Canis lupus familiaris: one gene and its partners. The protein of the gene in region 3 purifies or fractionates together with the protein of the main gene of each other region. This does not show direct contact. Links are inferred from orthologs where the notes say so. Each region holds a gene or a part of one and is shown on either strand. Other genes may lie near its edges.

The links.
Region 1: the proteins of IFT57 (region 3) and IFT74 purify together in Homo sapiens (affinity purification with mass spectrometry; 3 studies listed by BioGRID and IntAct, counting the BioPlex papers as one, with this or other methods). This does not show direct contact. The link is inferred for Canis lupus familiaris from reciprocal best matches to the Homo sapiens genes IFT57 and IFT74.
Region 2: the proteins of IFT57 (region 3) and IFT172 purify together in Homo sapiens (affinity purification with mass spectrometry; 3 studies listed by BioGRID and IntAct, counting the BioPlex papers as one, with this or other methods). This does not show direct contact. The link is inferred for Canis lupus familiaris from reciprocal best matches to the Homo sapiens genes IFT57 and IFT172.
Region 4: the proteins of IFT57 (region 3) and IFT20 purify together in Homo sapiens (affinity purification with mass spectrometry; 3 studies listed by BioGRID and IntAct, counting the BioPlex papers as one, with this or other methods). This does not show direct contact. The link is inferred for Canis lupus familiaris from reciprocal best matches to the Homo sapiens genes IFT57 and IFT20.
Region 5: the proteins of IFT57 (region 3) and TRAF3IP1 purify together in Homo sapiens (affinity purification with mass spectrometry; 3 studies listed by BioGRID and IntAct, counting the BioPlex papers as one, with this or other methods). This does not show direct contact. The link is inferred for Canis lupus familiaris from reciprocal best matches to the Homo sapiens genes IFT57 and TRAF3IP1.
Region 6: the proteins of IFT57 (region 3) and IFT80 purify together in Homo sapiens (affinity purification with mass spectrometry; 3 studies listed by BioGRID and IntAct, counting the BioPlex papers as one, with this or other methods). This does not show direct contact. The link is inferred for Canis lupus familiaris from reciprocal best matches to the Homo sapiens genes IFT57 and IFT80.
Region 7: the proteins of IFT57 (region 3) and IFT46 purify together in Homo sapiens (affinity purification with mass spectrometry; 3 studies listed by BioGRID and IntAct, counting the BioPlex papers as one, with this or other methods). This does not show direct contact. The link is inferred for Canis lupus familiaris from reciprocal best matches to the Homo sapiens genes IFT57 and IFT46.

The regions. Positions count from the first base shown.
Region 1 is NC_049232.1:45,480,058-45,482,597, reverse strand, and holds the end of IFT74 (intraflagellar transport protein 74 homolog), read right to left. Parts: intron 2,445-2,540; coding exon 2,384-2,444; intron 809-2,383; coding exon 690-808; 3' UTR 501-689; downstream 1-500. UniProt on the Homo sapiens protein: Component of the intraflagellar transport (IFT) complex B: together with IFT81, forms a tubulin-binding module that specifically mediates transport of tubulin within the cilium. Binds beta-tubulin via its basic region. Required for ciliogenesis.
Region 2 is NC_049238.1:21,489,865-21,493,864, forward strand, and holds the start of IFT172 (intraflagellar transport protein 172 homolog), read right to left. Parts: upstream 2,801-4,000; 5' UTR 2,637-2,800; coding exon 2,598-2,636; intron 1-2,597. UniProt on the Homo sapiens protein: Required for the maintenance and formation of cilia. Plays an indirect role in hedgehog (Hh) signaling, cilia being required for all activity of the hedgehog pathway.
Region 3 is NC_049254.1:13,948,606-13,952,105, forward strand, and holds part of IFT57 (intraflagellar transport protein 57 homolog), read right to left. Parts: intron 3,326-3,500; coding exon 3,194-3,325; intron 1,850-3,193; coding exon 1,787-1,849; intron 982-1,786; exon of another isoform or gene 892-981; intron 1-891. UniProt on the Homo sapiens protein: Required for the formation of cilia. Plays an indirect role in sonic hedgehog signaling, cilia being required for all activity of the hedgehog pathway.
Region 4 is NC_049230.1:42,552,294-42,556,508, forward strand, and holds the end of IFT20 (intraflagellar transport protein 20 homolog), read right to left. Parts: intron 3,787-4,215; exon of another isoform or gene 3,592-3,786; 5' UTR 3,556-3,591; intron 3,395-3,555; 5' UTR 3,393-3,394; coding exon 3,266-3,392; intron 2,161-3,265; coding exon 2,075-2,160; intron 1,522-2,074; coding exon 1,418-1,521; intron 934-1,417; coding exon 852-933; 3' UTR 501-851; downstream 1-500. UniProt on the Homo sapiens protein: Part of intraflagellar transport (IFT) particles involved in ciliary process assembly. May play a role in the trafficking of ciliary membrane proteins from the Golgi complex to the cilium.
Region 5 is NC_049246.1:49,114,781-49,117,692, reverse strand, and holds the end of TRAF3IP1 (TRAF3-interacting protein 1), read right to left. Parts: intron 2,187-2,912; coding exon 2,021-2,186; 3' UTR 501-2,020; downstream 1-500.
Region 6 is NC_049255.1:26,534,619-26,538,118, forward strand, and holds part of IFT80 (intraflagellar transport protein 80 homolog), read right to left. Parts: intron 2,632-3,500; coding exon 2,496-2,631; intron 2,085-2,495; coding exon 1,937-2,084; intron 286-1,936; coding exon 114-285; intron 1-113.
Region 7 is NC_049226.1:15,210,234-15,213,733, reverse strand, and holds part of IFT46 (intraflagellar transport protein 46 homolog), read right to left. Parts: intron 602-3,500; coding exon 471-601; intron 1-470. UniProt on the Homo sapiens protein: Forms part of a complex involved in intraflagellar transport (IFT), the bi-directional movement of particles required for the assembly, maintenance and functioning of primary cilia. May play a role in chondrocyte maturation and skeletogenesis.

The DNA of each region.
Region 1 (2,540 bases), on a different chromosome or scaffold from region 3:
ATACTCCAGAGTGACAATGAACAGCAACAGCCATTGTCTAAAACAGACTACCATAGGTGCAGCATTTCTTTTAAACTTCATGTTTTTCCTAGCATATACACGTAAGAAAATATTTGTAAAATACAAAGGTCAAAGTTTTTAATTCTGAATCTTTAGGGATAACTGATATGCAAAGAATATGAGTTAATATACTTACCTGCAACTTTATATTCCTTAGAATACATCAAATATACCCTATTTGAGAAATAAACCTCAAAACTAAACATCTGCCTTCCATTCTTTCTTTTTCTAGAAGCAAAACTTGACAAGATTGATGTAAGTGCTAAGTCAGAATCTCACTCCGTATATCCCTTCTAGAGTTGACACATTTAAAAAATGATCTCATTTGCTGCCATAGGTGGATTATACCAACTAAATCAATCTCAACGGCCACTTTTAGTTTATCTCTTGGTTGTCTGAGACATTTTTATCACTCACACAAAAAAAATACAAAAAAATGCTTTTCTGTATGCAAACTTTTTATTGAACTATTATGCTGTTTAAAGTAGTATACCTCTTCAAAGAGGTCACAAAAATTATAGTAGTTAAAAATTTTAGGTAAAACTCTTCAAGGGTATGAGATTCTTTTTCAGTCAACATACAGTTTAGCAGAAAGCATACTATTATAGAGACTTGCAGTTGGTTCAGACTCAGTTTCTGCTCATGCTATGTAGAGCGTCCACAATGCTTTTATTGTATTCTGCAATCTGCTTGGTCACATTCTTCATAATTGACTGGTAATCACTCTCTTGACTCTTGGTTGCTATGACTAATTACATGAGTTAAGGGGGAACAGTGATCAACAAAAACAGTAATCCACTTTGGCTTAGGAAGGGACCAAATCATACTGGTATTTTTCTTATGGAAAACTGAAAATGGCCAGAAAAAGAACAATTAGAATATATTTAAAAAAATATATTAACAGATTAAGATCAACTGAAATCTAAAAGGCTAAGGAAAATGTGTTTCAAAAAAAGTTCACCTACAGTATGACCTGAGCCAAAACAGAGTTAGACACTTAACTGACTGAGCTACCAATGCACCCATAATAGCTTTTTATACTTAATGTTGTGCATTTCAATCTAATTCTGGTCTGAGAACAACTGAATGTTCAGAAGAACCATGTTCTCTAGAGTACTGCAATGAATTACAGAAGTCTCTAGAATTCACTCTATTTCAAAATCCCCTACTTTGTGTTGCATAAACTAGACTGCTGGACTAAAGCATACTGAGTGAGAGTCTTTTGCTTTTAAAATGAGTAGCAACAACTGCTAGGAATAGAGCACCTGATGCATTTGATCTGGAAGTAAGCTGGGATCCATGCTGCCCTGAGCTGAAGTTCAGCAGTTTCCTGGAGGAGAATCTAAACTACCAATGAGTCAGGAACTACTTCTCCAAGCAGAGATATCCTTAAAGGGTCAAAGAAAGGAACAGAAAATAACTTTCAAAGAAGTGTTTCTTACAATTTCAAAACATATGTCCTCAAATAGGTGCTTCCTCCTATATAATCACACAAAAAGATAAAGCAAGAAGGTGGGATATAAGTGCCATCTTGGTAAAAACGTGAAGTTGAATTGGCTGAAACAGATGAGCTTGAAGGTCAAATTTCTCAAGATACTAATGTGTTTACTTCCCTTTGCTGCCCAGATATCCAAGGTACAGCACTATAAGCAACAGCAAACAATTATGCACATACATATTTCTGTAGGTATACATAATTCTCCCAATAACTCTATGAGAAAGAAATATTAAGTATATTTGAGATGATAAAGTTGAGGCTTAAACAAACTTTAACAATAATAAATTGTCCAAAGTCCATAAACTACAAGTAGTAGAGTCAACACTGAAAATTAGATCTCCTTGCTCCAAAACCTGTGCACTCAGTCACTATGCCACACTAACTTTGTATAGTCTGCTTTCTATTGTTACTTTGGTTGTGAGTGTGCATGTACACAGAACATGTGCGCGCGTACACACACACAAACACACCCTAATTATTGTAGATTGGAAACGAAGTCTCATTCATTTATTCCCCACATAGTTTAGATTGAGGTTTTGTACATATTAGGTATTTGATAAGTGTATATTAAATTTCATTTCATTTCCGTCTTTAAAACATTCTTAGGAAAAAAATCACTCTGGGTGCCTGTGTGGCTCAGTCAGTTGGGTGTCAGACTCTTGGTTTGGGCTCAGGCTGTGATCTCAGGTTCCTTGAGATGCTCTCTCCCTCTACCTACCATGCCCCCTGACAGATCTCTCTCTCTCTCTCTCTCTCTCTCAAATAAGTGAATACATTTTTAAAAAACAAAAATCACTCAGTCATTTGTTTCTTTTTAAAGGATACATTCTTTCATCACAAAATTATTTTGCTCATGGTGTTGCCACTTCCTCTCCAAATTTGTAAGCTAAAATCACAAAATAGAAATGTTAAACAGTACCCATATTCAAAACAATTATACACGTTTTTAAAGGATAAGAAAAAAAAACATTCAAAATTTTAA
Region 2 (4,000 bases), on a different chromosome or scaffold from region 3:
TAATTTTATGTTTAAATGATCAACTTTGGGGGATCCCTGGGTGGCGCAGCGGTTTAGCGCCTGCCTTTGGCCCAGGGCGCGATCCTGGAGATTCGGGATCGAATCCCACATCGGGCTCCCGGTGCATGGAGCCTGCTTCTCCCTCTGCCTGTGTCTCTGCCTCTCTCTCTGTGTGCCTATCATAAGTAAATAAAAATTAAAAAAAAATAAAATAAATGATCAACTTTGGGACACCTGGGTGGCTCAGTGGTTAAGCATCTGCCTTCAGCTCAGGGCATGATCCCAGATTCCCGAGATCAAGTCCCACATTGGGCTCCTTGCATGGAGCCTGCTTCTCCTTCCTCTGCCAGTGTCTCTGCCTCTCTTTCTGTCTCTCTCATGAATAAATAAAATCTTGAAAAAAATAAATGATCAACTTTAAGCTTTGAAGAATGGATGCAGTTAAGTGAGAGGAATTATCTGAGGTAGAAGGAATGATATGAGCAAAGGCAAGTCTGGTCAAGAAATAATAATTAAAAAAAAAAATTAAAAAAAAAAAAAAAGAAATAATAATTTAATTTAGCTGCAACTACCTTGCAAATAGAACAGAGGAGGTAAGGCAGGAAAGACAGTGAGTCCAGCTCAAGAAAGATCTTTGAAATTTGGCCAAGGAGTTTGGGCTTATTTCGTGGGAAAGGGAGAGACAGTGAAAGTTCCAGAATAGGGAGTAAGACAATTAGAGTTGAGACTTAGGATGAATATGCCGCCCGGTTAGTTTTTTTGGATCCCCCCTCCCCCGCCCAAGGACTATGCACTGCACAGAAGCCCAATTTAGAAGTGACCATCTCCCAGTGAATTATTTTTGCCACATCTGTCTGCCACCAGCCCTGGTCCTCACTTAATGGTTCTGCACTAAGGATTTCCCTCCTTGAAATTAAACATTTAGCTTCTGCTCCAATTGCATGATTAATTACTTGGGCTCTAGAGCTCTGGTTTCAAACTTTGTTAATTTTCACTCCTAATCCACTTACCTGTGAAGTCAGAGATTTAAAAAAAAAATGCTTTCTTTATCAAAATTCTCAGAGTCAGAATATAGCCACACCACCACCTTCACCACCCTCCAACTCTTGATTAAATTAGGTTTGAAGGGCTCCTCAATAACCATTGTTCATCTTCCTTCATCATTTTGCCAACTCTGGGCATTCGCCCTTCCCTGCATCATGACATCCTATTTTCAAAGACTGAAGGAGGTTTTCATTTTCAATAATTCCATTAGGGTAAAGAAATCTTTAAATTACATTTTCAGGGGCAGTTTACTGAGCCAATGAGTACACTTCTCTTTTCTTCTCATTTCCCTCTGTTCTTTTTTTTTTTTTTTTAAGTTTCAGTTTATTTATGATAGTCACACACAGAGAGAGAGAGAGAGAGAGAGAGAGAGGCAGAGACATAGGCAGAGGGAGAAGCAGGCTCCATGCACCGGGAGCCCGACGTGGGATTCGATCCCGGGTCCCCAGGATCGCGCCCTGGGCCAACGGCAGGCGCCAAACCGTTGTGCCACCCAGGGATCCCCATTTCCCTCTGTTCTAATGCCACATCTTCTGTGAAGCCTTCCTGATTCCTCACAGCAGTCGTAAGGATTACATGAGGTAGGGAACAGAATAATGAAAGCTAATCTTTAACAAGATCTTACCACAGGCTAGGCACTTTGATAAGTGCTTAATATGCACTCTCCTTTTACCTCATAACGCTGAGACAGATGCCATTTTTGGGTACATCTTACAACCAGAAACTTGAGGTTCAGAAAGGTTAAGTAATCTGCTCAGGTTTACATACACAGTTTAGAAGTGGCAGAACCAAGATTTAAGTCCACGTATGTCTGATTCCACAAACCACAATCTTAACAACTAATGCTGCCCTGCTACCTATTAAACATTCACTTGTGACAGATATTTTCACTAGCTTTGTATGATTTTGTCCTTTGAATTTTGCTCTCCTCTCTTGTCTATCAGTTTTAATACTGCTTTTAAGTTTGCAATGGCCTTTGTGTACATTACTTCCTTTAACTCTTCCTCCAAATCCCCCTCAGGTTGCTAATTATTGTTACTCCCGTTTTCCACTCAGAGACTTTGTGTGACGAGGGCCAAAGTCAGCGGTATTGGGTCATTTATTTAAAGTAGAGCTGGCCCTGGGACTTGGATTCTGGTCTCCCAGCTCCAAAACGCAGCCTTTCTTTAGCATGGTTCCTCCCCCAGGGCCCCGCCTCTTCTGAATCTGAAATCTTCATCATCAGAATGAACGTGAGGTCTTCTGCACCCCTTCCTCTGGGGCTTGCACCTAGAGCCCTCGTTTCTTTGGGTGCAGACTTAGGCTCGTAGTTTACAAGCGCGCCCACCACGGGGCCTCCTCGTCCACAACTGAAGTTAAATGAACGGGCATGAAAGCTACCGAGGCTAAGAGGCCCGTCTCGCCTACTGCACACTATCGAGCAGAGTCGAATCATCCTTAGAGCCTTCAGTCTTCCGCATACAGTAGGCGCTCAACATCGTGACATTTCAGTTCCCCCTTTTCTTTGCAACGTTAAGGCGGGCGGGGAAGGGAAGAGGCACGCAACTCCTCACCTGAGGGCTCAGCAGGGTCCGCAGGTGCTTCAACTGCATGACGAACACCTGCCTCTCAGCTGCCACCAGTCAGCGACAACTCCCGTGGTTACCTGGACAACCCGCCACGCAGCCGCAGCGACTGCCGCTGACGCAGATGCGAGCGGGGCGCAACACACTTCGCAAGGTCACCACGTAGGTTCGCGGCGATGCAAACAGAACGTGCGCAGGCGCAGTGAGGCCTAGGGCGGGACAACGAGAGGGATGGAATCCTCTCCTTAACGAGCCAATCCCGGCGTTGCCTGCAAACCCAAGCTCAAGCCACGCCCACGAGTCCTAGGCCACCTCGAGGTCCTACGTAATCGCGGTGTTTCTCGCGCTGTGTTGCGAGTAAGTGTGGCTGAATGCATTATTTTGATCTTCACTACCTCGGAGGAAATCAGGGTAGTTGCTTCCATACGTTTTGCAGCGGATGGAATTGAACCCAAATAGGTTATATGACTCGCAGGGGATCGCAAGGCTGGCTAATAATGATTGCTAACTGAATACTCAGTATGCGCCTGCCAGGTACTGTGCATCATCTCATTCAATCTCAAAGCTGCCTTTTGAAGGGGTTGGCATTATTAGTCCCATTTTACATACCAGGAGTCTCAGGATTAGAGGGGCCACTTACCCAAACTAATAGTAAAGGCTATAACTGGGATTCAAGCCTGAGCTGGTGCTTTTAAACACCCTGTGTATTCGTTCTGAACTCCTAGCTCCCTGTCTCCATGCCATGCTTCTTATACTCTGTGCTACTTCCATCCCAAGAAACGATGTGTCCAGAGTCTGAGAGATGAGTGTTTTGAAACCAGTGGCCAATGAGAGGTGCTACTATACAATTAGGTAGCAGTGGATTAAAGACTGCTGCCCAGATCGGGATGCTTTTGTGGTTCAAGGCAGAGGGCAAACCGGAGCTTGGCTCGCCCGATTGCCTAAGATTAAGTCCTGTGATAACTGGGGTTGGAGCTTGGTTAAGTAAAAAGGATATTGACTTCTTGATCTGTATAGATCAATAATTCTGAAAGGGATCTGGGGTCCCTTTCAGAATTATTGTTCTAAATTCTTGTAACATACCAGAGCCTGAGATGCAGAAAAGGCGAGTTAGGAGAATTATTCTTATACCTCCTCTGGAAAAATCTGAAGCTGAGAAGACCTATACTTCTCCAGAAAGGGTAGCATATGCTGTCCAAGCAGATTCTGGGTTCTGAAGCCTTTCCCCCACCGTGGTTGCAAATGTCAATAGATATTTCTCTCACTGGCACCATCCCCCCCAGCCCCTTGGTATTTAGGGAAGAGTAGAGGAAAGCCCCTATTTATACAGGAAACAAGTAGCCCCAGAACCCAAAGTATAAGTCTTTTGACAGGGGAATTCCAATCCCTCA
Region 3 (3,500 bases):
GATCTAATACATCCATAAAGGGACATAAACATATTAGGAGTGTTCTGGACATAATTTGAATAATAAAAGAGACAGAGAGACAAAGCTTTTTATCTTCTGAGAGTGCTCCTAACATTAAACTTCACCAAATGATGTTTTCAGGTTGTCACATGACAATAAAAACTGATCTAAGTTGTTGTTTTAGGCATCAGACATGCAAACCTTGTAGTTATCTCCTAGCATCTACCATGCCAATCCTTTTTTTTTTTTTTCTTTTTAGAGAGAAAAAGAGAGCAGGGAGGTGGGGTGGGATAGAGAGGGGCAGAGGGAGAGTGAGAGAATCTCCACGCCTGACTTGGAGCTCTGTCTCACAACCTTAAGATCATGACCTGAGCTGAAATCAAGTCAGACACTCAATGGACTGAGCCATCCAGGCATCCCAACCTTGCCAGTCTTTAATAATGAGTTATTAATTAAAACAGTATATACATTCTGAGAAGATTTTGGATTTCTAAGGCTTAGTAGGTATCTTTCTTAATATTATAGTTTTATAAGAGAAGATGCCATCTTTTCCTGTATAGGATGCTAAAAATAACGTTTATACCATATGGCTGTATATAAAAATATTCCAACTGCTCTATCCAAACCGTGAACTCCAAGAGGCATATTGTGCTGTCATATTGGCTCTTAGCTGTATTCTACGTCATATTCAAAATTATACTACTATAGCCTCTATTAGTAAAATTCCAACCTAGAATATTAGCTTTAAAAGTTTTTTTAAAAAATTATATGACCTAGAACTAAGCCATAATTATTGTAACTTACTAGGCTTTATTTTTATCATACTGGTGAGTAAAAACTTCCTTGGGAATAAAGTGCTCATCCAAGTAAAGCAAATTAATTTTTTTTTAGGCACCTGCAATGTTACAACTGGGGATAACTACCTCCTCCAAAAGAACTAAATGGGTCCCTGGACTCCCTTCAAGTGTTAATTTACCTAACGTAAGTGAGCACTTTACTTCTACATAATGTTCTATTTGCCTAGAAGCACCACAGGATTAGAGTCTAAATATTTCTAAAGTTACACTTTTAGTATTCTAAAATAACTATTTATGCCTCAAATAATCTCTATAAAAGAAGCTTAATTCTATTATATTGAAAATGTCTGTGACAATTACACTGGATTATAACCAAAGACACTCTTGTACATTGGCTATTGACCTTGTAAGAATTTTTTTTCTCCCGGCCCTTCAGTAAAAAATTGGAATATATATTAGATTGTACCCCTTTGTGTGATGATGAAAATCAATGCAACAATATATGCAAATATTTCAGAAGTTCTCAGAAGGATAGCCACTTCCAGTTTGTAGACAGAAATACTTAGGATCACATACATCAGCAGCAATCACTAAAAACAGATCTTATATCTTACAGACTAACATTAAAATTAATTATAAGACATTTAAGCCAGTGCTTTACCTACTCTTCTATGTATTAATCATGACTACTCTGCTTTTAAAAAGATTAAGGAAGGTTATAAATGTGCTAATATTATCAACAGGTTCTATGTTGAATTTAATAAAACAACTTCAGGCATTTTATGGGAATAAGAAGTATATAAATACATAATTGATTCATTGATAAGAAAACTAGGGATTTTCTCCTAAAGAAAAGGACTCAGAGCCACGGGAAGCAGTTGCTGAAATAAAGAGCGCCCGGTTGGAGCAGTATTAAACCACAATGACTCTGCATGGCTGGGGCCAGGGTGCAGCTGAGGGTGAGGAGAGGGCGAGAGCGTGGTGTGCACCTCAGACAGGAGCTTGGTCCTTTCCGTTACTCCGCCATTACCCTGCTGGTATCGCTCCCGTGCCTAAGGGAGAAAACATTTTGTTTAATGACAAATTCACAACAGAAGCAGATTACTTAAATGTGACCTCTTTGTGTTTGCGATTTCTGCATATCATTTTATGACAGCCCCCCCCATTTGTGAATACATTTGTGAAAGTGACATTTAACTGTAGCTTTTTTATGTCCCTAATAGGCGCGATGTATTTAAACTAAGGCACTATAAAATGATAAACTACCTTAACCTTCATATACTGACTGTGTAACTCACACGGGCATGGTTCACAATAAAAACTGTCCTCAGCTATTCCTACACAGTTTAGGAGAGCAGCTCTTGGTCGATGTAATTTGCATGCTATGCAGAGAAAACCAGTTCAAAAAATCAATCATAACAGAGCATCAGGATGAGCAATTAATAAGGATTAACAAATGGTATGACAGTACGGAATATGTTCTTGGGAACTAATCTAACAATTATTTAGTATCAGTGTTTGACAGTGGTTTTAATCAGACTTTTTACAGCATTTTGAAAGTAAAAACATCCATGAGTATATATGTATATGAGGGAATAATTTGTTAAATAAATAACATAATAAAACAGTGAAGATTGTTTTCTGTTTGGTCTTTGAGAACTTCTGAAAGTACAGAAGTATCTTAAGTTGATTTCCATTTTTTCCCTTCTTCTAACCTTATTTACTGAAAGAAAAATAAAAAACTCTTCAACTAGCATTTCTAAGTGTTCTTACTAGCCTTCCTCAACATCAGGAAAGAGGGGGCATAACTCCCAAGGAAAGCCTTTAGATCCCTACTGGGGTACAAAGAACCACTGCTTCCAAAGGCTGAAGGTTTTATTTTTTTGGTTGAAATTCTAAAACCTTGAAAGGATTAAAAAATTTGCTCATTAAATTAATTAAACTGCTTGTCTCTGAACGTGTCTTGCTTTCATATTCTTTATTATGTGGCTGTAAGCCATTAAGGCAATGATGTCTTTTCCCTCTGACACATGTAAATGCATACTATTCTTTTTCCTCCTACTCACAGGGTAAATTAACGGCAGACTAAGAAACAAAACCAGGTGTCCTGACACTCTGTTCCTGTTCTAAGCAATGTTCCCCAACAATACATGTCTTCATTTATTTAAATCAAAAGAAGAAATGCATTTAAAGACTTCTAGGAGATAATTTCTATTGCATGTAACATGGAGATGACAAGTTCTACTGCCTCACGTGGCTTCCTAAAGTGGGCAGAGTATCCATGTGTTGCTGTTTGGGAGAAGCATTTCATGATTCTCAAATGAAAAGTGCTGTGTCAAGTTTGGGAATTAAGGTCATTAACTGAAATAAATCCCTGAATATCATTCCTAAGTTACCTCACTCAGTTGGGCTTGGGCTGCACGATATTCTTGAACCAAATGCTCAAGCTGGTTGTTGATGTACTTTTCTCGGCTGCCGATCTTTTCCAGAGTTCTACTAATTTCATTATGAAGTTTATCCAAAAATCCCTAGAAATTCCATAGGATTTTAGTAGATAAAAGAACTCACAAATACATTTTTCAAAAATAGTACAAAATGGGCTAAATTTCCTTCAATCCATCCCACAAATTCCCAACCACTTGTGAAAAAGAAGATAGCTTGAAATTTTCAATAGCAAAAGAAGTCTGTAATGAGAAATATTTT
Region 4 (4,215 bases), on a different chromosome or scaffold from region 3:
TTTAAATCTCCTAATTCATCCTCTTTCCAAACCTTAGTCTTGTTTTTACAGACCACCTGACATAAGTCCCTTCACTCTGAGGTCTGGTGTCTCAAACCTGATGTGGAAGTGCGCTTCCTATTGGATCACTTCACCCTTCCTTATACTTTCATCATCCTTCCTAGCTTGTTCACCAAGTGGCTTGGAACACCACTTCATTGGTGTTCCTTAGCTTTCTTTAAATTTATACTCACGGCCAACTCAAAAAATCAAACACTTGTGAACACACATGGAAAATAGTAACTGGTCCTGTTTGGTTGCCCTTTTTTGTCTGTTTTGCTCACAAGCCATACTGGTCTGATTGTTGGGAGTATCATCTGACTCATATGTCTGGTCCAAATAAAGGTACCTGCTGACCACTGCCTGGTTTGTTTTATGGACTATTAAGGGGCTAACATGCAGGATTCTTTCAAGGTGTTAAATATACACTTCAAGGGCACCAGGAAAAGAGATAGATCAAGCCATTTGAAAACAATAATTTATTGCTCTTCCTTTCCAAAGCTATGTGAATTTACAAAAAAAGAAGAAAAAGAAAAAAGGATCAGAGTGTACAGACTGCTCAGTTCAGGCTAAGAATGCCAAGAAGCGAGAGCCTGGACCACCATGGCTACTAGGTGTTCACCAGCAGATGCACATGGCCATCTGCAATAAGCTCCCCCATATTGGTTTACTGCCTTCAGAGATGCTGTGTTCCTTACACACCATCTCTCAGGACAAACGTGGGTCATTAGTCAAGTCACTGGAACGGCACAGAGGTTTTTTGGGTTTTGTTTTGTTTTTTTGCCCTCCTGCTATAAAATGAAACTTTCAGTTCATTTCTGAAAAATAAATTGGTCAATAAATTCATTTTGTTCTGCTTCTACTTTACACAAAGCTTCATATTCAACCCGATACCTGAAAAACAAAATTGTGAGAAGCCCTAAGAATGGATGAAATCAACCATGGATTTAATTCTACAGAAAAATATAACTGATTTGAACAATGTCAAGACATGGTGTGAGTTCACAGTGATGTTAGGATAAGAAAGAACAAAGGAAAAAAAAAAAAAGAAGAACAAAGAGGCAAAGCCCAACCTAGGGCCACCCTTAAGAAGTCTCCAGCCCTGCCCAAGAGGTTCTTTCCTTTCAGAGAACCAGCCAACTCCACAGACAATTGCTACCTGAGCTTTCAAGCTCTCAAACTAGTAGAGGTGGTTTTTTACTAACAAATTTTCTATTCTCATCAAATGTAATTTTATTTTTTAAATCTTCAAATCAGGATGACAAATGAGATACTATTCTGGGAGGACAATGATGAAAGGTAAGAGGTGACCAATCATGAAGGAAAAGTAGAATTGCAGTTGAGTAAAGAACTTGCTTTATACATCATAACTTCTTACCTTTCAAGCTGCATTTTCTTTTCTGCTATTAGTGCTTGGAGTTGCTGCTGTTGGGCTTCTCTTTGTTTTGCTATAGATTTGAGCAAGTTCCGAGCACCAATGGCCTAGAAAAACAGTATTATCAAAGGTCATGGCTTCATTAATATCATCTTCAGCATTAAGTCCTCGGCCAAGGAAGGGCCACTTGACTATCTCAGCCCCCAGCCAGCAAGACAGTCAAGCCCCAGAGCTTCGGGAATGAGGAGGAATGACTGATCCCAAAGTGCCTGATAAGACCCAGGCTGCAGTCTCCGGGGCATGTCTACAAGTATCCCTGAGTCTGGCACACAAGTGGTCAGTGGCCCATTTGGTGTGCCATTTTGCCTTGTGTCCTTTGCCAAGTCCTCGGTACCACGTATGCCTTCATTGCTTCAACTTACAAAATAAGCATAAAACCAACTATCTCAGTGTTGTGAAGATTAAAGAAAAGAATAACAAAGTGTACTAGCATGTAAGAGTTCAATAAGAGGGTAACTGGACTTGTTACTTAAAATCCTGTTATAAATAAATAAAAATCCCACAGCCCCCACCCCACCTCCAAGAAAAAGTCAAGATGGTAGGAGGAGAAGCCAGTGAACCATGTCCCAGGCCAAGATTTAGAAGACATGCTGATCTTACCTTCATCTTTTCATTTTCTGCTTCTTTTGCAAGTTGGTCAACAAGCTCAATTAAACCACCAACTATTTTCTGAAACTGGCCAATTTCTTTTAAGGAAAGAACAGAAAATAAAATGTTTTATTTTCTCCATGTGTTCCCCTGTGGCAAGAGGGCAGGGCTAACTGCCCCTTCTAACTTGTGTCAAAACAGTTTGGTGCCTGTTGGCCTAAAGTCTTCTGCCCTTGATCTAAATCCAGAGAAGGGTGCTCAGGTACCCAGGACTCGACCAGGGTGTACTTGGACCTTGAGTCCCAACTGAGCCAGCCAGTGACTGTTAACCTCAGGTAGGAGGCTCCTGATGGGCCCATCCTCTGCATAGACTCCATCCCGCTTTCCCAGGAGTGATGGGAAGCACAAAGGGCCATGTTCACAATAGGACTGACTGAGGACATGAAGAGAGCCTCTTGCCTAGCCACAGATAAAGCACTAGATTTCAGTTCATGGTAGTTGGAGGGGGTGGGGGGAGGGTTGCCAACTGTGACCAGAGCTAATAACTCAAAGCATTTAAGTGCCTAATCTCCCATTTGCTTTTTTCAATGTCCTTGGGTGTGGTGGGATCTCATTCTACTGAGATCCTGAACTAGGACCCAGGAAGAAAGGACAATACGCAGTGAGAAAACTGGCAGTGGAGCTCATGCTGCCTTTCACCAGTCGAGCTCTCTACAGACTATGGAGTGCCCAGAAGGCTCAGAAATCCCTGCTCTTCAACCAACAACAGAAATCCCTGCTTCAGCTAGAGCTGCTCTGTATTCACTGCCACTGGGCTTGCTTGCCTGGATATCAACCAAAAAAAATGACTTCGTTGAGTCTGTTGAGCCTCCAAGAAATCCAATCCAATCATGAGTACATAACTATTTCCCCACCCCAAGCCAGCCACAGTTCTGCCCCCCATGAAGTTCAAGCAAAAAAATCAAGGATGAGATACCCTCTCTCCATTTCACCATTGGTTTTCATTGGTGCTCTGTGTCTGACTACATGAGAACATTAGCAAGGAGACAAGGCGATTGGTTTCTGGGAATTCACAAAGGCCTGACACAACTTCCAGGGAGCCACTAGCTCCATTCTGGCAGAGACAAGAACTGCGAGTGGGGGTGGGGCCAGCCAGAACAGCTCCGAGCCAAGTGGCACCATGTCTCCCTGAGTGACACTCACTGTCCACAAAGTCCTTGCACTCCTCCTTGAGCTCTATGGTCTGCTGGGTGACCTCAGGGTCCAACACGCGCAGCTTGTTCAGTTCATCAAAGTGCAGCCCTGCTTCACCCAGGATGTCCTTGGCCATAGCTGTGAAGAAACCAGCCTCAGTCCCTGATCACTTCCCAGCCACCCTAGGAAATGCCTGCATCCAGCCCAGGCCCACTCCCACTCCCAGACACCAGTGCCAAAAACCCAGATTTTCCTCCAAAGGCTCCCCTTCCCTCTGCCTCCATCTCTCTGAGCCTCACCTGTTTCCCTTCCGGCTTCCCTAGAGAAGAGAAGCTCTGTGATAGTGGCAGCCAGGAGGAAGTGTCATAGGAGCAAGGGTCAGGAAAGAATAAAGTCCAGGTGGCTTGTCACTGGCATCGTTCATTCAACACACATTTCTTGAGTGCCTACTACATGCCAACACTGCTAGATGCTGGGGGTACAAAGATGAGCGCAACATGGTGCCCGCCCGGGAGGAGTACATAGTTTAGCTGGAGGAAGACAGACATGGAAACTGAGAAAGTATACTGTGTTAAGTGCTTTTACAGAAATATCACTGTTGCAGGAGAACAGAACAGTTAACAAGGTGAGGGAGTAACATTTGAACTAAATTCTGAGAAGCCATAAGCATATTTATCCCCAATTATGTACCCAAAAAGACGTGAAAGATCTTTTCCAGCACAGTACTAGCATAACACCAAAAGCAAGTAAAAGAGGAAATCTGCGTGAATTAAAAATCAGAGTTAAAAAATAAGCCAGGAATAAGAACATTACCCACAATGTATGCCACAGGCTATGGCATGCTGGCCTGCACTAGAACCAAGGTCCGTTCCATCGCTTTATAGCAGAAAACACAAAAAGGAATGAAATATCAGCAAGAACGTATCAAGTGAGGAGGCTACGGAAAGGCTTTCCAAGCA
Region 5 (2,912 bases), on a different chromosome or scaffold from region 3:
GAAAAGAAAAATAAGCATGAATATCAGGCCAGAAAGCTCACATTTTAGTCCTGAATGTTTTTCCCAAAGGTTGACACATTTTCTTTGAATGTAAATGAACATCAGTTCAACTTTTAAATTAAAATTCCTGCAGTGTGACTTCAGCCCTCCTGGAAATGTCCAAGCCAAAGTAGAGGAAAGGGCTTACTAATCCCCTTTGTGTATTTTCTCAAAGCAACAAGTAACATCAGCATTTAACGCGTCTCTGATACGATACCGTAATAATCACACAGGGAGAGGGTCTGTAACTTCGTGAATGACCTTAAATTTCTGACAAATGCTTACCTGTCTTATAAAACTTCAACTTATACATTAGAGTGAGAAGTGTCACGATATGAATGAAAAGATCAATTTCCCTGAACTTTCTTCACAAGAAAAACAAAAATATATGCGTTCGAAGATAAAAAAATCCAAATGCTTATGTTTTTCCAGCTGTGAACTGAATCGCACAATCCATACACTTATAGAAAAAATATGTGATTGTTTTTAATGATTTATGTATAAAATAAAAATAAATTTTATGATACAATTTGATAAACTTTCATACAAAATTCTACTCACATAAAATGTATGCAGTTTTTTTTTTGCAACACAACAATTCTATTCGTATGTACAAATTCATAAAAGGCAGACACATCTTGAAGCAAAACGGTCAATTGAGGGTTGTGGCTAAGTTGTTCAACTCAGAAGAAAAGAGACAGGTATATGGGGGACTCATGAACTGACACCCCTCCCACCTCCAATAATGCATTCAGTGCGATCTGATCAAACAATTTTATGGTGCACGGTAGAAATGACAAAGTGGCCAACGTGTCAGAACGGCAGAGCTTAAGCTGATCTGGAACTTACTCAGCTTGGGAAATCATATAACCACCTTAGAAAAGGATTTATTCTGGAAATCACAGTAAGGAAACCTAACCTGTGCCATCTGTGCTAATCCTTAAAGAAGCAGAACTTTCTCAGGCAATTCTAACATTTAAATGGCACCGTGTGGTTTGCACAATAAATATCTAGAAATAACAGTATCGGGACCCAGACCTTACGACCTGTATGTCTCCAAACACTGGAATCCTTTATATACAAACTTAAGACTTTCCTAAGTATTTACAACACCATATGTGAGTGAAAAACTAAATATAAACCATGTTCTAAAAAAAACCCTTGCTTTAAAAAACAATTTCCAAAAAAATGGTAACATCAAAAAAAATGTTGCAAATCAGTGCGTCCCCTGAAGCCTCCCTTCAGCTGTCTGCCCCGAGCTACTCGCCTCTTAGGATCACACGTCTAGGGGAGGACCAGGCAGGATGCCAAGGCCGCGGGCGCAGGCGAGTGCGAGCCCCCCGGAGTCACTGCTCCCTACCTGGGGAACACCCTGGGGGCAAATGTCCACGAAGGACATACTAAAATCTCCTTAAATGAATGAACTTTAAGGCAGGACACAGAAGCCAGAGGCCGTAGGGGCTGAGGAGAAACTGCCAAAGAAACTCACGTGTACTTTATAGAGATACAGCCTGAAGTGAACCCTCTCCAAGGGGAAGCAAACTCAAAATGGAGCGGACTCATTTTCAGGCCCCATTCGACTTGCAGTGCCCATCAGGAGCAGTCATCCTTCACCTGCTCCACGCAGGGTCCGGTCACCAGACCTAAGACCTGAAAGGAAGGCCGCCGGTCCCCTGGCACGCCACCACCACTCACCTGCTGGAGGATCCTGGCGCAGGACTGAGCAGGACAGGCCGCTGCACACACGCAGAGCACGCGTCTGCACGGCGATACCCCACTGGAGGAAGGTGCGGACGCACGGCCCCTCTACACATGGGCGTGCCTGTGGTCTCAAGTGCGGAGCTTTGAGACCGCACATTGGATGGACGACGCTGAAAACTTCATTTTCTTAGGAAACTGCACTTAAAAGAGTACTGGCATTCTATCTTCCTTTTTATTGTCAGACTGAGGAAGATTTCCAGCTTTTGAAACGTCTGAGCTTTCACCTTCTCGAACTCAGATTGATGCTGTACACCATCCTCTGAATCTTCTCCTCGTTCTTCAGGACGTTGGCCTTCACGGCGCAGATCTTGTCCTGCTGGTCCTTAATCAGCTGCTCCAGCTCAGCCAGCTCGGCCTTCAAGGGCTCCACCGCGCAGTCCGTGATGCTGATGGGAAACACAGGGGCTCGTGAGTATCGGGTCTCGGCTTAGCTTTGCTTCCTCGTTAAAACAACGAAGGAAGACAAAAGTAAGGTATTCACAGCATCCAAAGACAAAGGGTCAAAATACAAACATACTCTGATAATGATGGAAAGGGATGAGGACCTCACACCTGTGAAAAACATATTTCACCACCCCACAGCCCAGAGTCCAACATGCAATTACACAGAGGAGCTGAATATTCAAGTCCTCACCTCACATTTTGCAGAGAACCCTGGGACGGCAGGGAGGGGAACAGTGCAGCCACCAAGGGCCGCCGCCTCTGCGCAGCCCTACAGGTGCCCCACCTTCCTCTGGGAGAAGCTCATCCAGCTTCCAGGGCTTCCCCATGGATGCCCCCTGACTCATGTGTTCAAGGCATGAGGCCTTTCAGTGCTGTGTTACCTGCCAGGAAAAATCTAGAACATTCTTCGGAAAGAATAGGGGGGCCTGGGTGGCTCAGTTGGTGAAGCGTCTGCCTTCGGCTCAGGTCATGATCTCACGGTCCTGGGATCAAGCCCCACATGGGGCTCCCTGCTCAGCCAGGGAGTCTGTTTCTCCCTCTCCCTCTGCCCCTCCCGTCCAATTGTGAGCTCTAATAAATTTTTTTTAAAGACTCTATACAAAAAAAACAAAACAAAAAAACAAAAAGAGTGACTGTTCCCAATCATCCTGCCACAAAGCAAACTCAGG
Region 6 (3,500 bases), on a different chromosome or scaffold from region 3:
TTTCATTTGCAATTTTTCCAGCCCTTAGTTGTTACCATTTCTTATCTTGCACAAAGATATGTGTCAACTAATACTCAATATATACACAACTATGGATCTGAAATGTAAAGTACCTTCACAAAGCGACAAAGTCTTACAGCATCTTCCCATTTTGAACCGCTTACATATTCATGGAGAATAGCAGGATATGGTGATATGCTGATGTGAACCAGCGAGCCATCAGCTCTTCTTATAGTTACTTGATTTCCGACAAAACTTACAATATGGGGATTTTTACTAAATTCACTGTTGAAAAAAAGCAAAGTATAATTTATGCTCTGAGCAAAATCTTTCATATGTACTAAATTTGGGGAGTTGACCCTTGACACAGATATAAAGTCTCCAAGTGTCCAAAATTGACCCCCAAAAAAGTTAACTCCAGGGAGAAAGTATATATTTAAATAAACATTCAAATCTAATCTGCTATATGCTTGGAGTTTAATGTGACAAAAATTAACACATACTTGAGAGCTATGCCTAAAAGCATTTGAAATAATCTTTTTCACCTAAGTCTTAAGGTAAATTACACAAATGATTAAAAAACTCAGGGGCAGCCTGGGTGTCTCAGCGGTTTAGCGCCGCCTTCAGTCCAGGGCCTGATCCTGAAGACCCAGGATCGAGTCCCACATCAGGCTCCCTGCATGGAGCCTGCTTCTCCCTCTGCCCGTGTCCCTGTTCTCTCTCTCTCTCTCTCTCTCTCTCTCTCTCTCTGTCTCTCATGAATAAATAAATATAATCTTTAAAGAAAAAAAAATTTAGCATTAGCTTTTGAAAGTATAAACCAGTAAAAAATTAAGATGATTACAAGACTATTTTCTCATAATAAAAAGAGGTGAACTTGGGATCCCTGGGTGGCGCAGCGGTTTGGCGCCTGCCTTTGGCCCAGGGCGCGATCCTGGAGACCCGGGATCGAATCCCACATCAGGCTCCCGGTGCATGGAGCCTGCTTCTCCCTCTGCCTGTGTCTCTGCCTCTCTCTCTCTCACTGTGTGCCTATCATAAAAAAAAGAGGTGAACTTTAAGAGACTAACTTCTCTTTATTAATTTAAATACTTCTAAAATGATGCCTTTTGGGATACCTGGGTGGCTCAGTGGTTAAGCATCTACCTTCAGCTCAGCGCGTGATACCGGGATCTGGAATCAAGTCCTGCATTGGGCTCCTTGTGGGAGGCCTGCTTCTCCCTCTGCCTGTATCTCTGCCTCTCTGTGTGTCTCTCATAAATAAATAAATAAATCTTTTTAAAAAATGATGCCTCTCTGGTCTTACAAGAGTTATGAATATTAAAGTGAACTCAAAATAGATTTGAAAGTTAAGATAAGGTTTGGAGTTAAGAAGCTTTGCATTCTTATTTTGTCAAGATTGAGAGATCTTGTTATTTCTTAGAGAACTTAGGGATATACATGTATTTTCTAAAGCATGTAAAATTAAACTCTTCAGTTACCACATATTTTTAATCTTTAATATTACTTTAAAAATTCAATTCTAGAGACCTATACAGTCCTATAAGTATAGTAATTAGTAATTTATGATAATTCGAGAAAGAATAAAGGTTGACACACATTGTATATCACTGAAAAAAATCTAAAAAATGTCCATATTAAAATCACTAAACCACACTGAAAAAAAGCTACCTGAGTTTCATTAAATAACATTAGGCTTAAAATTATATTCATATAAGGAAAATTATGTCCATAGAAGGAATAAATATAGTAGTATTATACGACACTTTCAATTTGACCCCAACACTTAAATCTAATCTCATTAAGCTAGCTTTAGCTGAACAATTTCGTTGACTGAGTAGAGTGAAAGGTACCTTGCAGGATTAAAATCAGAGGCAAAAACATGACACTTTAGAGTCATTTATTACAATAAACAATTCCAACAGTAAAATGTTACCTTGCATCCCTTTCGTATAATGTTTTAGGCAAAATGTCTCTGTCCACATAAACTGTATTAGGATAATACCACACTGTAAATCGAGTATCTTGAAGTCCACAAAGGATATTACATGTATCACTCCATGCCAAAGTATGCACCATTGTTCCTTATTTTAAAAAGAATGTTAATGTATTATTAGTTCCACTATAATAAGCATTAAAAATATTTTAATAATCAACATACAAGACCCCTTCTAAATTCTGGTAGGTGTGCCTCTGTTTTCTGATTGTATAATGGTGAAAACATGTACAAAAACTCATTTAAAAATATATGGAAATATTTGAGTATTTGACCTGGAGCCATTATGTTTTAATTTCTAAGTCTTTCAATGCTAATGTGGTTATAGCAGCTAAAGACTTGCTATTTAAGTGGTGTTAAATAGTTAAGAAAAGTTATGAGACCGAAGCATGATTCGCAGATTAATTCAAGCAAGTATGCTATTTAGTATAATATATGACAGAGTAGATCTAAGAAAATTCAAAGTAATCAAATTTTAAATGTATTATAATTTTTTTACCAAGTTTGATAATCTGTTCTTCCTTCCCAAATCGTTTCACTGAAGTGATATAGAGATCTCTATTTTTATCAATGAACGCAATTTTTCTATCATTGGTAAGTCCCTTTTGATCCAGAGCAATTTCCAAGATTTCATTCTAAAATTTAGAAAAATGAAAATACTGCATTAATTTTAGTGCTTGACATCAGATCACTTAAGTTATTTAATTACAAGAATATTTGTTTATTTAAAGATCAATTAAATATCACCCCCTACTTAGAATGATAAAATGTCTCTGTTAACTACTGATATAATTCAAAAGCTAAAGTACAGTTACCTTTTTTTTAATTTACAAGGGAAAGATGCCCCGTAAAACACTAAAATGTATATCTTTTTGAAACTTCATAAGCTAGGAAACATTCCTTTTTTTTTTTTTTAAGATTTAGTTACTTATATGAGAGAGAGTCTGTGTACCAGTGGGAGAGGGAGCAGAGGGAGAGAATCATCAGGCAGATTTATGAAAATACCTTATGTTTTTAGAGTCTTAAATTTTATACATTCTTTTCAGATTCAATTCCTATGAAATAGCAAACTATCTTGTGTTATCGGTATTACTATACTTGCTTTATTGACAAGAAGACTGAGCTGCATAGACATTAAGTGATTTTTGCTCAGAAAAAGCTGGTAACAAGCACATCTAAAATTTAAAGTCCAGGTCTCTAACTTAAGATTAGTGTTCTGTCTATATAACAAAGCATTTCTGGCATACTGCATTAATCTATTATACTATTACAATAGCTTGTAAAATGAATTTCCTTATAACTTGGAAATGGTTTAGTGTGGATTCATTTCAACTCAATCAAAGAGTTGAAATGCTATTTACTGCCTACTATCTTAAGACTTGCTAGGACTTTTTTTTTTAGACTTGCTAGGATTTATTTTTTGAAGGTGTCACAATAATACCTTAAATGTCCATCATTTGGGCACAGGTTAAATAAATTCTGATATATCCATAAAATGTTATAC
Region 7 (3,500 bases), on a different chromosome or scaffold from region 3:
TTTTTTACTGAAGCATCACCCAGGAACATCTGCCTCCATGTGGGGCTCCTGAAGTCCTTATTCTCCACCCCTCCAAAAAGGAGCTGAGCCTAAAGCAGAAATGGTCCTGTGCAGATATGTTTTCCTTGCTAAATAGAATTGCTTAGGGATGTACATACATTTTATTTTCCGTTTCCCAGAATGAGAGCTCCTTGAAGGCAGGGACCATCTTTTAGATTTACTCAGCAAATCCTCATGAACCCCCCAAACCCAAAAATGTTTCAGATGATGCAAATGACATCACAGGACTCAGTGAAGCAGTGCAGCCCAAAAAGGAGGAAAATTCATTGTTGGTTTCTGAGACATCTGAAAATCCTACTAAGTAGGGGAGATCAAGAGAGATGCTAGAATTTCACTCCCAACTCATCTCTTCCCAGGCCAGTGTATTCCTCCCTGGCTTGGGGGATCCTCAGCTAGGGGGCTTTCCTCACCCTTCCAGAGGGGCCCCATGCTCTTCATCATCATCATCTTCATCAGATTCTGTCTCAGATGAGTCGTCATCATCATCATCATTTTCACTGAAGCCTCGTTGAGGTGTCAGCTGTGAGGTCTTTTTCTTCTCCTGAGATGGGGCAGGGCAGGCAGAGAAGGCACCACATAAAAAGCAGCTTAGTGTACCCATGCCCCGAGCCCTCCTACTGCTCCCACAGACACCCTCCCGCCTGGCACCAATTCACCAGAAAGAGAAGGTGGCGCTCCCCAGAAAGGCCCCAAGGACTTTCATTTACTCCTGCCTAGCTACAAACTGGGTCCTCACTTTCTACAACCATATTCTATTTTTCTCCTTGAGGCTTCTGTATAAACTTTATCTAATAATTATCTATTTTGTCTGTTACTTAGGAGACCCTCAAAACTATGCATAAACTTATCTATTCAGCTTCAACTCCAAAAGTTAGGGGCTTTTAAAGAAGCAGAAGGTAACTGTGATGAGTTATTTTGGAAGGAAATGGGGGACCATGAAGTTGGAAGACAAATTTAAGGAATCTTCATACTCATAAGGATCACAGGAAATCTAGCATTTAATCTGCAAGATGGCCCAGCATAAGTTGCTTCTAACTATCTGAAGAAGGTTCATAATTAACCCTGTGCCTGAATTACGACCAGCAGTTCCAGACTGTGGGTCTTCTTCCATTCAGTCACACTTCTCCTCGGTAGGAACCTGACCTACTCATACTTCCCTTCCCTTCTTCGAAAGTTAAATGCAATGACATGTTATATCTAAAGATAAGAGACTCTCCCGCTCTTGGCATTAAAATCTACCTTTCTGAGCTTCTGGTTCTTTAAGTATCATCCTCTCCTCTCAAGTGTACGAGGTGGAGTCTGGTTTGGGGACTTGCAGGGGCATTGGGATGGGGTCCATGTCCTTGCCTCTGTGGCCTGCAGCCTATGGTATGCCCTCACGACCTGAAGGATAACCAATTGGCACCCTTTAAAAGTAGGTTTTGAGGAGCCCCTGACTGGCTAAGTTGGTAGGGCATGTGACTCTTGATCTCAGGGTTGTGAATCCATTTATTTATTTATTTATTTATTTATTTATTTATTTATCTATTCATTTATTCATTCATTCATTCATTCATTTATTTATTTTTTAGGGTTGTGAATTTAAACCCCTTGTTGGGCACAGAGCTTACTTAAAAATAAACAAACAAATAAATAACTTAAAAAATAAAAGTAGGTTTTTGAAAGCTTGGTTTCCATATGCCATATGGCTTTTTCTTTTTTAAGATTTTTATTTATGGGATGCCTGGATGTCAGCAGTTGAGCGTCTGCCTTTGGCTTGGGGCATGATCCCAGAGTCCTGGGACTGAGTCTCACATCAGGCTTCGTGCATGGAGCCTGCTTCTCCCTCTGCCTGTGTCTCTGCCTCTCTCTGTGTCTCTCATGAATAAATAAATAAAATATATTTTTTAAATTTTATTTATTTATTTGAGAAAAGAGAGCACAAGCCAGGAGGAGGGGCAGAGGGAGAGGAAGAAGCAGACTTTCTGTGGAACAGGGAGCCCAATGTGGGGCTCAGTCCCAGGACCCTGAGATCATGACCAAAGGCAAAGGCAGACACTTAATTTACTGAGTCACCCAGGTGCCCTGCCATATGGCTTATACTGAGGTTAAGAGATGTTTGGTTCTAGGTTTAAAAATTATTTAACGTTTCTCTTACAGTAAAGCAACCATTGGCATATTAAAAAAATTGTGACAATACAATACATCAAAAATGCTTCTGGTCATGTGTTCTTTTAAGCATAACGGATTTATTATACATGGATTAGGATATATTTTAACTAATCCGTAATATGTGTGTGACAAATGACACAAAGTTGCGCAATTTATTTAGTGACTATGCTTTATTGGTATACATTGATAAGAATCTCATAGTGGTGTGGGTTTCTTATTTTTTGTTTTTTGTTTTTTTTAGAGAAAGGAGGTAAGGGTAGGGAGAGGGGGAGAGAGAATCTTAAGCAGGCTCCACACCCAGTGTGACCCCAATGCAGGCGGGTTGGGGGAGTGTTTAGATTTCACACCCTGCTGACCCAAGCCAAAATCAAGGGTCAGATGCTTAACCAACTGAGCTACTCAAGTGCCCCAAAGTGTTCTTTCTTTCTTTTTTTTTTTTTAAGATTTATTATAAAAAAAAAATTATTTATTTATTTATTTATGACAGACAGAGAGAGAGAGAGAGAGAGGCAGAGACACAGGCAGAGGGAGAAGCAGGCTCCATGCAGGGAGCCTGACGTGGGACTCGATGCCGGGTCTCCAGGATCACGCCCTAGGCTGAAGGTGGCACTAAAGCCCACTGGGGCTGCCCAGAGAATGTTCTTTCTTAATTCAAAATCTGCCAAAGCTATCCTTGTTAGGGAAAGGAGCTTTTTAAGAATACCTGATGGTCAATTTTAAGATCATTCAAAAATAGATCCTTTCTGCTGATTCTGGTTGCACACTGAATTAGATAAATGAGTCTTGAACATTGGCCACAGCATGATGGAGACTAGAAAAATTTAGGGTGAATGTACAAAATTAGAAGGTCAGTTTAGGAAACTGCTCACTTTTACTTTGGTTCTTCAAAGCTATGCTTTGCAAAATCTCTAATCTAAAGGCAGAGGGGCTTTATATGCCACAGACAAATGCCTAAATACTTTGTGCATAAAATGTTAAAATAGCATACTAGGGACGCCTGGATGGCTCAGCAGTTGAGCGTCTGCCTTTGGCTCAGGGTGTGACCCTGGAGTCCTGGGATCAAGTCCCACTTCGGGCTCCCTGCATGGAACCTGCTTCTCTATGTCTCTACCTCTCTGTGTGTGTCTCTCATGAATAAATAAATAAAATCTTAAAAAAATAATAATAAAAAAATAAAACAGCATACTAGTCACAAAATGGGACTACTTTATTTGCTTTTTAAAAAAGATTTATTTATTTACAGAATAGGAGAGAGTGCATCAGCATGCACCCTTGAGTGAGGGGAAGGG